2 linked regions of the Canis lupus familiaris genome follow. The protein of the gene in region 1 interacts with the protein of each later gene in a pairwise test. Links are inferred from orthologs where the notes say so. Each region holds a gene or a part of one and is shown on either strand. Other genes may lie near its edges.

Region 1 (3,807 bases):
CACGTTTGTCCCAAACACATTATACAGAGTAGAGTCTCATGTATACCTATCTTTATATAATACTCTTGGTCCCGAAGTAAATATCTGAATTATTTACTAATTCTGTCATTTTGTAGTTATACATTCTCTTTTCTTATATTTTGTTATTGTTATCATTCATGAACAAGTAGCTTAGAATATTTCTTAGAAGCAAAAAAAGTCAATGTGTTTCTTTTTAGATAATTTAATAAAGCCATAATATTTTTGTTGTTGTTGCCTTTAAAGGGCTGTGCCAGGACTTTTAGGTAGTAGGATCCACTTCAAGAAGCAGTTTTCTGACCCAGTAGAACATGGTCAGAGACACACAGCAACAAAAAGAGAACTAGCTACTGGTCGAAAGGCCATGCAAAGGCTTGCAAAGATGATGTCTGGATGGTTTCTCAGGCGTACCAAGACTCTAATCAAGGATCAGTTGCCTAAGAAGGAAGACCGGGTGAGAACTGCATTTGTTTAAATTATTAATTTCTCATCGTTTAAGTTATTGATCTTTCATCATGTTTTATTTTTTCTGAAAAAAAAAATTCTTTTTAAGAGGAAATCTAGGGGATCCCTGGGTGGCGTAGCGGTTTAGCGCCTGCCTTTGGCCCAGGGCGCAATCCTGGAGACCCGGGATCGAATCCCACGTCGGGCTCCTGGTGCATGGAGCCTGCTTCTCCCTCTGCCTATGTCTCTGCCTCTCTCTCTCTCTGTGACTATCATAAATAAAAAAAAAAATTAAAAAATTAAAAAAAGAGGAAATCTATTTCCTGTGGTACTTTATGAATATAGGGGTTTTTTTTGTCTTTTACTAAGTGTGGAAAAAGTTGTTATATGCAAATTCAGAAAGGATTAATTGAGCCCAATCTAACAGGTTAGTTGACAGGTTTATTGTTAGTATACATAAAACTCATTTCTCTTATTTTATAATAAGAAGGCTTTTGGTGTAATTCTTTCTCAATGAAAAAAGAACTCTCTCCCTAATTTGTTTTCTGTTCATATTTTGCCCTTCATATATTGTGCACTATTTGTAGCCCCGTATATTCTTTGAGACCTTGTAACAGATACAAGACTATAGTGTTTAAAAGGTTTGTTTTATAGGTTTGTTTCTTTTAGAATGCTGTTTATTTTATACAACCAACTTAATTTGAAAAAGTTTAGGAAAGTTATAATTAAATTCCATTAATTGTTTAAGAAAACTTGAAGAGTAAATCTTAAGAGTTTTTTTTACATGTAGTGTCCTCTCATAGTTTTTAATTCTGTGGTTCTTCTAACTCAGGTAATGGAATAAAGGTTCTATAAATTACTATGAATTAAGCTTAATTAATATTGTCCCAAGTATGGGTAATACTATCAAATATTCTCTAGTCTTAGAATATCCTGTTGATTATTACTTTTAAAAGACAGATTTGAAAGGCAAATATACTGATATACAAGTTGGGGAAATTGACTTTTTGATCTAAAGCAAATACTACTATTTAATTGAAATACTTAATGAATCCCCACTTTTAAAAATATTTTGTGCAATTTTATGTATATTATTTAGTTGTCTATCCAATAGGAGGAATAACTATAAATATATGAAGAGAGACTTGTGCATAGAGTGTTTAGACCATGGGCTCTGAGATGAAATAATATAAGCTTGAATCCTGGCTCCCCTACTTAGGAGTTTTGTGACTTTGAGCAATTTGCTGTCTTCCAAACCTTGGTTTCTTTGTCAGTTAAATAGGAATGATGATGACAGTGCCTTACATGGTTGCTCTGAAATGTGTGGCATGTAAAAAGTGTTTAGTAAATGTTACTATGTGTTTTAAGGTACTTAGGAATAAATTTAACCAAGGATGTGAAAGACCTATATAAAACTATAAGAAACTGATGGAAGAAATTGAAGAAGATACAAATAAATGGATGCATACCCATGTTCATAGATTGGAAGAATTAATATTGTCAAATACCCAAAGCTATCTATAGATTCAGTGCAATCCCTATCAAAATTCCTATGGCATTGTTTTATAGGAATAGAACAAACAATCCTAAAAGTCATATGGAACCACAGTAGATCCCAAAATAGCCAAAACAGTCTTGAGAAAGAAAAGCAAAGTTGGCAGGCATCACATTTCCTGATTTCACAGCATGTTCCTAGGCTATAGTAATCAAAACAGAATGGTACTGGCATAAAAACAGACACATAGATCGGAGGAGTAGAATAGAAATAAACCCATGCATATACATACAGTCAAATATAATATTTGACAAGGGAGTCAGGAATACTCAGTGAGTAAGAAAGGAAGATACTCTTTTCAATAAGTGGTGGTGGGAAAATTGAATATTCATATGCAAAGAATGCAATTGAACTTCTGTCTTAACACCACTCACAAAAATTAACTGGAAATGGATTAAAGATTAACACACAAGACAAAATCTTATAAAACTCCTAGAAGAAAACAGGGAAAAAGCTCCTTGATGCTGGTCTTGGTGATGATTTTTTAAATATGATATCAAAACTATAAGCAACAAAAGCAAAAATAAAATATAAGACTATGGGGTGCCTGGGTGGTGTGCAGTTGATTAGGTGTCCAACTCTTGGTTTCAGCTCAGGTCGTGATCTTGGAATGGTAAGATCAAGCCCTGAGTCGGGCTTAACACTCAGTGTGGAGTCTGCTAAAGTTTCTCTTTCCCTCTCCTCTGCCCCTGTGATTCCTGCTCTCTTTCTGTCTCTCTTTCTAAAATAAATAAATTCTTTTTTTAAAAAAAGTGAGACTACATCAAAGTAAAAAGTTTCTGTAACACCCAAAGAAACAATGAGCAGAATTTTTTCTTTTTGCAATATTTTGTAGTGATTTAAACATATAAACATTCATAAATAGATGGCTTTTCCCTTGTATTCACATTTTTTAACTCTTACTATGTGTTTTATGACCCTCGTTACATACAGCTACATCTAGAGGACTTTTACCAATTTCCAGTGCTACTAGAAATATAAGGTAAATTACATCCTACGTAGCTTAGTGGCATGATTATATCAAATTTTCTTTTTTTGAATTTTGGCATAAAACAGAAACTTGTAGTTGCTTTTATGTGTATTAAGTTCTTAACCTTTACTAACCTTAGGAATTTATAGCAGGAAATCAAATACAAATTGTTACAAATAGTAATATAAAGTTTTAAATTTTTTTCTAAGTTTTCAAGTAGTTCAGTAAGTATTATTCATACCATTGTTCTAAAGTTTCCCTTTTCTCTTTTCCTACTATTTTTTTTTTTTTAGAGATTTTTATCTATTTGAGAGAGACAGAGAGAGCAAGTAGGGGAGAGGAGCAGAAGACAGCAAGCTCCCCAGTGAGTAGGGAGTCCAATTCAGAACTCCATCCCAGGACCTGAGCCAAAGGCAGATGCCTGACTGACTGAGCCACCCAGGCACCCCTTCTTATCTAGTTTTTTATTTGACCTAAACTATAGTCACTTATTTGCATGATGGGCTAATAGTATGAAATCCTGAAAAGACCCAGAATGTATTCAGAAATATATAAGGAAACCACTTGTTTTTTCATATTTTAATTCCTTTCAATTGAAAAACAAACTCTATGAGATTTGAAAATAAAGTTATCATTTATAGGGTTTAGATTAGGGTGGGAGAAATTGTCATATTAATGCATCTAAAAGAAAAATAGTTTATAAGCAGTTTTCACTTTTATAGTCTATAAAATCTGATGTGCATTGTGATTATTACTGCTATAAAAAAGTACCAATAATTACTTAGTGTTTCATCTTGGCAGATGGTGTATTGTTCTCTGA
Region 2 (4,473 bases), on another chromosome or scaffold:
GGTCCCTGCTGGGGGCTGAGGCCCTGAGTAGGGGCCTCCTTCCCATTGTCCTCATCCTCACTTCTACTCCCAGGGGAACTCGGGGCCCACGCTAAGCGGGCTGGGAACAGCTCTGGCTTATCAGCACCAGCCGGAGTCACTGACTCCCAGGGCTCTTCCTGTTTCCGGGCCTGTGGAGTAGAAGAGACAACAGGGAAAACAGACATTGTGTTGTTTCCCGAAGGAACGTGCGGGTTTATCCATCGTCGGCGAAGCAGAGCGTGTGCAGAAGCCACTGTGAAGCCAGCGTGTGACCAGGTCAAGTGACCAGGTCAAGCGGCGCTCCTAAATCAGAGCCTCCCCATCCCCTCCCCTCCCCGCCCCTGAGGAATACCAGGGTGGAAAAGAACACTAGGAAAACCATATCTGGAAATGCAGGGGTGACAGGAAGGAGCACAGGACACAAAACTTGAGTGCGGGCCTTGGCTCTGTCACTTGCTGGCTGTGTCACTATGGGAAAAGGCCTGGGCCTCAATTCCTTTATCTGTAAAATGGGGATAATATCTGAAATAACCATCGCCAGGTGACAGCAAGGATTCAGTGAGCCAATATATACAGAAGTACCCAGTCAACATACACACAATGCTACGGTGATACAACCCCTATTTGCTTCAGGAGCCAGAAGACCTGGGTGGGGGCATTCGGATAAGGAGTCACCTCACCCAACTGAGACCCCGCCAAGAACATAAGCATCTAAAGGCTCCCCATCGCCTCCAGCTACCAGCCCAGTCACGCCAGGGACAGCTGCCCTCCCTCCCACGGCCACTCCCGCCCCAGGTGTCCCGCCCAAACACTGAGTCACATCTCACACAGGGAGAGGCCAAGGGGAGTGGGACCGTGAGAGATGTGCTAGACACGGGACAGGTGGAAGACATGGGATGACAGGGGACGGGGTTCCCCGAGGCCACCTGAGAACGCAGGGCGTCTCTTTTGGTGCCATTAACCGAGGGCCCAGCGCAGTTTCTGATCATGACTAAGAGCCACAGTGGACTTTACCTCAATCAGGATCCCCAGAGCAACGTCTACCATCTCAGCCTCGCTCATGCAGTACGCAGTCCTCATTGCAGGCAGTCTGAAAGGAAGGCATGGTGCTCAGATGGGGACAGGCGGGTCTCAGGTCTCACAAGGGGGAAGAGAAGGAGAGCAAGAGTCCCAGCCCGGGGCCCTCCCACCTGCCGCCACTGGAACAGGGCATGAAGGCCGCTCCTTGGAGTCCCTGCCCCCACACAACGGACTCCAGCGGGTCAGATGACAGGTTATCAGGCCGAGTCATGACCAAAACCCACCTGCACCCGTGGCCACTATAAAGCAGGACCCAGAAGGTCTGAAGGGAGGTGGGTCAGTAAGAAGAGCCAGGGAGGGGAGCACTGAGTGCCGGGCCTAGGAGGATGCAGGGACGCTCCCTCCCTGGTGGCCTGAGGACTCCCCCAAACCACCATCATTCAGCTGATTTCATGCTGCTCCAGCGACTGCTGCTCATCTGTTCCTGATCTTCCTGCAGGCAGACTGGCCCCTGGTCCACTGAACTTGACCACTTAATGGTCAGGTCACAATGCTTGTTGCAAATGAAGACACCGGCACCTTGGACAACTGGTGTCTGAGAGTTTGGCTACTGTGCATTAGCCAGAAGGGGAGCGCTGCCTGGGAGCTGACACCTGAGGCCTGGCCGGGGAGCTGCACCAGCACCCTGCGGAGGCAGCTGGGGCCTGGGACCCTGGAACACCCACCACCTCCTGCTCCCCCAGCACCGGAAGGTTCAGCCCCAGCAAGTGTGATGCCCACAAAACCTCCCTCCTCCTGTTTCCCCAGGTCCCCAACCAGAAGTTGCCCCACCTTGCTGCAGCAGCTCCCTGCACTGCCCTCTTTGGCTTGGGGGTCTCCTGGGTTGTCATCCATGCGGGAAGGACCCTCTTCTTATCCCCGGATTTTACAGCTTCCATTTCTCTTTTCTTTCCTGAAGTCAGAGCCCAGGCTTAACGACTTGCTTTTCTAAATCAGGACAGCAAACCCCATTCTCATCACACCAGGAATTCCAGGTTTGTCCTGCATGGGAGTCATACCTTAATTCCTACAAAGAACAAAGTTTAGTGAATTCTAGTAAGTCAGAGTACTCCCAGCCATCAACTGTAATTACTGGTCAGGACAGGCCAGAGGTTAGCTGGGCAAAGAGCAGGGCCCAGATGCTGGCTGTACCCGGGGTGCCCAGCCTGCCCCACCCTTAAAGTATCTTCCATCCTCTCTCCCTCACCTCCCCAACTCCAGACCCGTCATTTCCTCGGACCTTGGTGCAGTTACAGGGAACCCCAGGACCACTTTAATTCACCCACACTCCCTTAATCCAAAAGATTCATCTGACAGGCCAGATTCTAGCCGGCAGCAGGGATGGGGAGGAGGACAGGGATCCGGGAGAGGGGCAGGGATGGGGGAGGGGCAAAAGGGATGGGGGAGGGGTGGCAGGGACCAGAGGGGGCGGGGACAGGGGCAGGGCGGCGGGGAGGAGGAGGGAGGAGGGCCGGGGAAGGGGGTGGGGCCTGGGGAGGCCTGGCGTGGCCTCGGGGCACCCCCAAGCCCGGCCCCCCCGCCCCGCCCAGACTCAGTCCCCGCCCTGGGCTCTCGAGGTCCGAGGTCCGAGGCTCGCCCTCCCCCCGCAGCCCAGGGCTCCGCCCAGGACCTCACTGGGGCAGAGGTCAGCCGAGACAGGCCGGGAGCCCTCTCCCAGTCGTCGTTTATCGCTCACCTGGAAGGCGGGGTACCCCGTCAGGGGCTGCGAAGTGCGCAAGGTCGCAAGGAGGTTGGGCGCAGCCAGCGGGGCCCCGCAGCCGCTCACTCGGCCTCACCCCGGCCTCACCCCGCCGGTCAGCGGCCGCCGCCCCGCCCGGGCTCCAGGGGCAGAGGCGGAGCGAGCCCGGCCCCGATCCCCGCGGACCCGCGCCGCCCGCCGAGCCGGAGCCGGGAGCGGAGGGGACGCGCGGGCACGGGCACCTCCACCTCCACCTCCACCTCCACCTCCACCGGGCGGCGGGCGGGCGGAGGGGGGGGAGGAGGGGGGTGCAGGGCCAGGCTCGGGGGACCGCGCGCTCCTCGGGCTCGGCCTCCCCGCCTCCGGGCTTCCGGGGCCTCCGGGCTTCCGGGCGGCGGGGACCCGGCCGGCCCTGCGCGCGCCCCCGCCCCACCCCCACCCCCACCCCGCCGCCCCCCGCGCGCCCCACTTCCGGCCCCCCTGCGCCCGCGCGGGGACCCGCTCGCCGCCCGCAGGCAGCCGCCCCCCCTGCCCCGGGCTCCCTGCGTCTCGGGCGGACCCTACTCGGGGCCCCTCTGAGCTCCCCGCTGGGCCGGGCCCTGGGGCTCCCCCGCCCCTCTGGGCCCCGGCGCAGCAGCGAGCGTCCAGCCGCGGACCCGGACCCCAGCCCCCAATCCCGAGCGCCCTCACACCTGGGCGGCTCTAACTCCCCGCCTTCCAGGGCGCGCGTGGTCACCCAGGTGGCCTTCAGCAGGCCTCCCAGAGCAGAGTGGAACCAGGGCCGCCCCCCCCCCCCCCCTTGACCAGGCAACCCCCTTCTCCCTGCTGCGTTCACAGTGAAGCCCCATGGCTCTCCCCGACCAGGAACCTAGGGTATCTGACCCTGAAAAGAGCCTGCCTTGATGTTTTCAACAAGTGTCAAGAATAATGTTCTATTTAGTGGAATATTTTTTACAGTCCCCAAACATGGCTTCATTTGAGGTTTGCCAGCCAGACTTTACTGGAGTGTCAACTCCTGGGCCGCCCCCACCGAGTCGGAAATTAGGGTGAGAGGAGGAGGGTCTGCATTTTAAAAGGAAAAAAAAAAAACCTTGGGATTCCCACAAGGACCAAGTCTGACTCTCCTTGCTGGGGGTACACATCCCAGGGGGAGAGGGCCCAGGGTAAGCCCCTTGGGTGCAGTAAAAGAAACGAAAGCCTCTGCTTAGACTTGCTATCTTAAAAGTAGTTGCCACTAACACAACATTCAGATCGGCGCAGGTGTTCCCTCGGCGGCTCCACAAAGCTCCCCAGGCGTCCTTGGTGCTTTGCCGTCAAGTTTAGCCTGACGCCGGGACCTGCAGTGGACACGTGGAGCTCGCATCCAGTTTAAGACGCACACTCAGCTTAGAGCAGGCTAAGGGGCCAGCAAAGGAGCCCCAGGGCAAGGCCGTGACAAGACATGCGAGCACAAGCCGTCACAGGTCAACCTTCCCCTGCTGCACTTGGAGGTGAAAGTATGATCAGAACCGACCGTCCAGCCCCCAAATGTGAGACCAGCCCCTTGAAATGTGATTTCTAACACATCAGCCACAGGAATAATGACCCTCCAGCGGCTGGAGGCGCACAACAGGGGGGCTTGCAGACCCTGACCAGATGCTCTCCTCCCACTGTATGTGCAGCACTTTCACCCACTGGGCCGGGAAGGTTTAGCC

The links.
Region 2: the proteins of ERCC6L2 (region 1) and CYREN interact in binary tests that used the Homo sapiens proteins (3 or more experiments, as listed by UniProt). The two-hybrid records come from large-scale screens. The link is inferred for Canis lupus familiaris from reciprocal best matches to the Homo sapiens genes ERCC6L2 and CYREN.

Annotation. Positions count from the first base shown.
Region 1 is NC_049222.1:71,449,465-71,453,271, reverse strand, and holds part of ERCC6L2 (DNA excision repair protein ERCC-6-like 2), read left to right. Parts: intron 1-264; coding exon 265-472; intron 473-3,551; exon of another isoform or gene 3,552-3,788; coding exon 3,789-3,807. UniProt on the Homo sapiens protein: Promotes double-strand break (DSB) end-joining and facilitates programmed recombination by controlling how DNA ends are joined in a spatially oriented manner during repair.
Region 2 is NC_049237.1:12,653,923-12,658,395, reverse strand, and holds the start of CYREN (cell cycle regulator of non-homologous end joining), read right to left. Parts: upstream 2,934-4,473; 5' UTR 2,777-2,933; intron 2,282-2,776; exon of another isoform or gene 2,108-2,281; 5' UTR 1,980-2,107; coding exon 1,873-1,979; intron 1,112-1,872; coding exon 1,036-1,111; intron 524-1,035; coding exon 401-523; intron 171-400; coding exon 1-170. UniProt on the Homo sapiens protein: Cell-cycle-specific regulator of classical non-homologous end joining (NHEJ) of DNA double-strand break (DSB) repair, which can act both as an activator or inhibitor of NHEJ, depending on the cell cycle phase.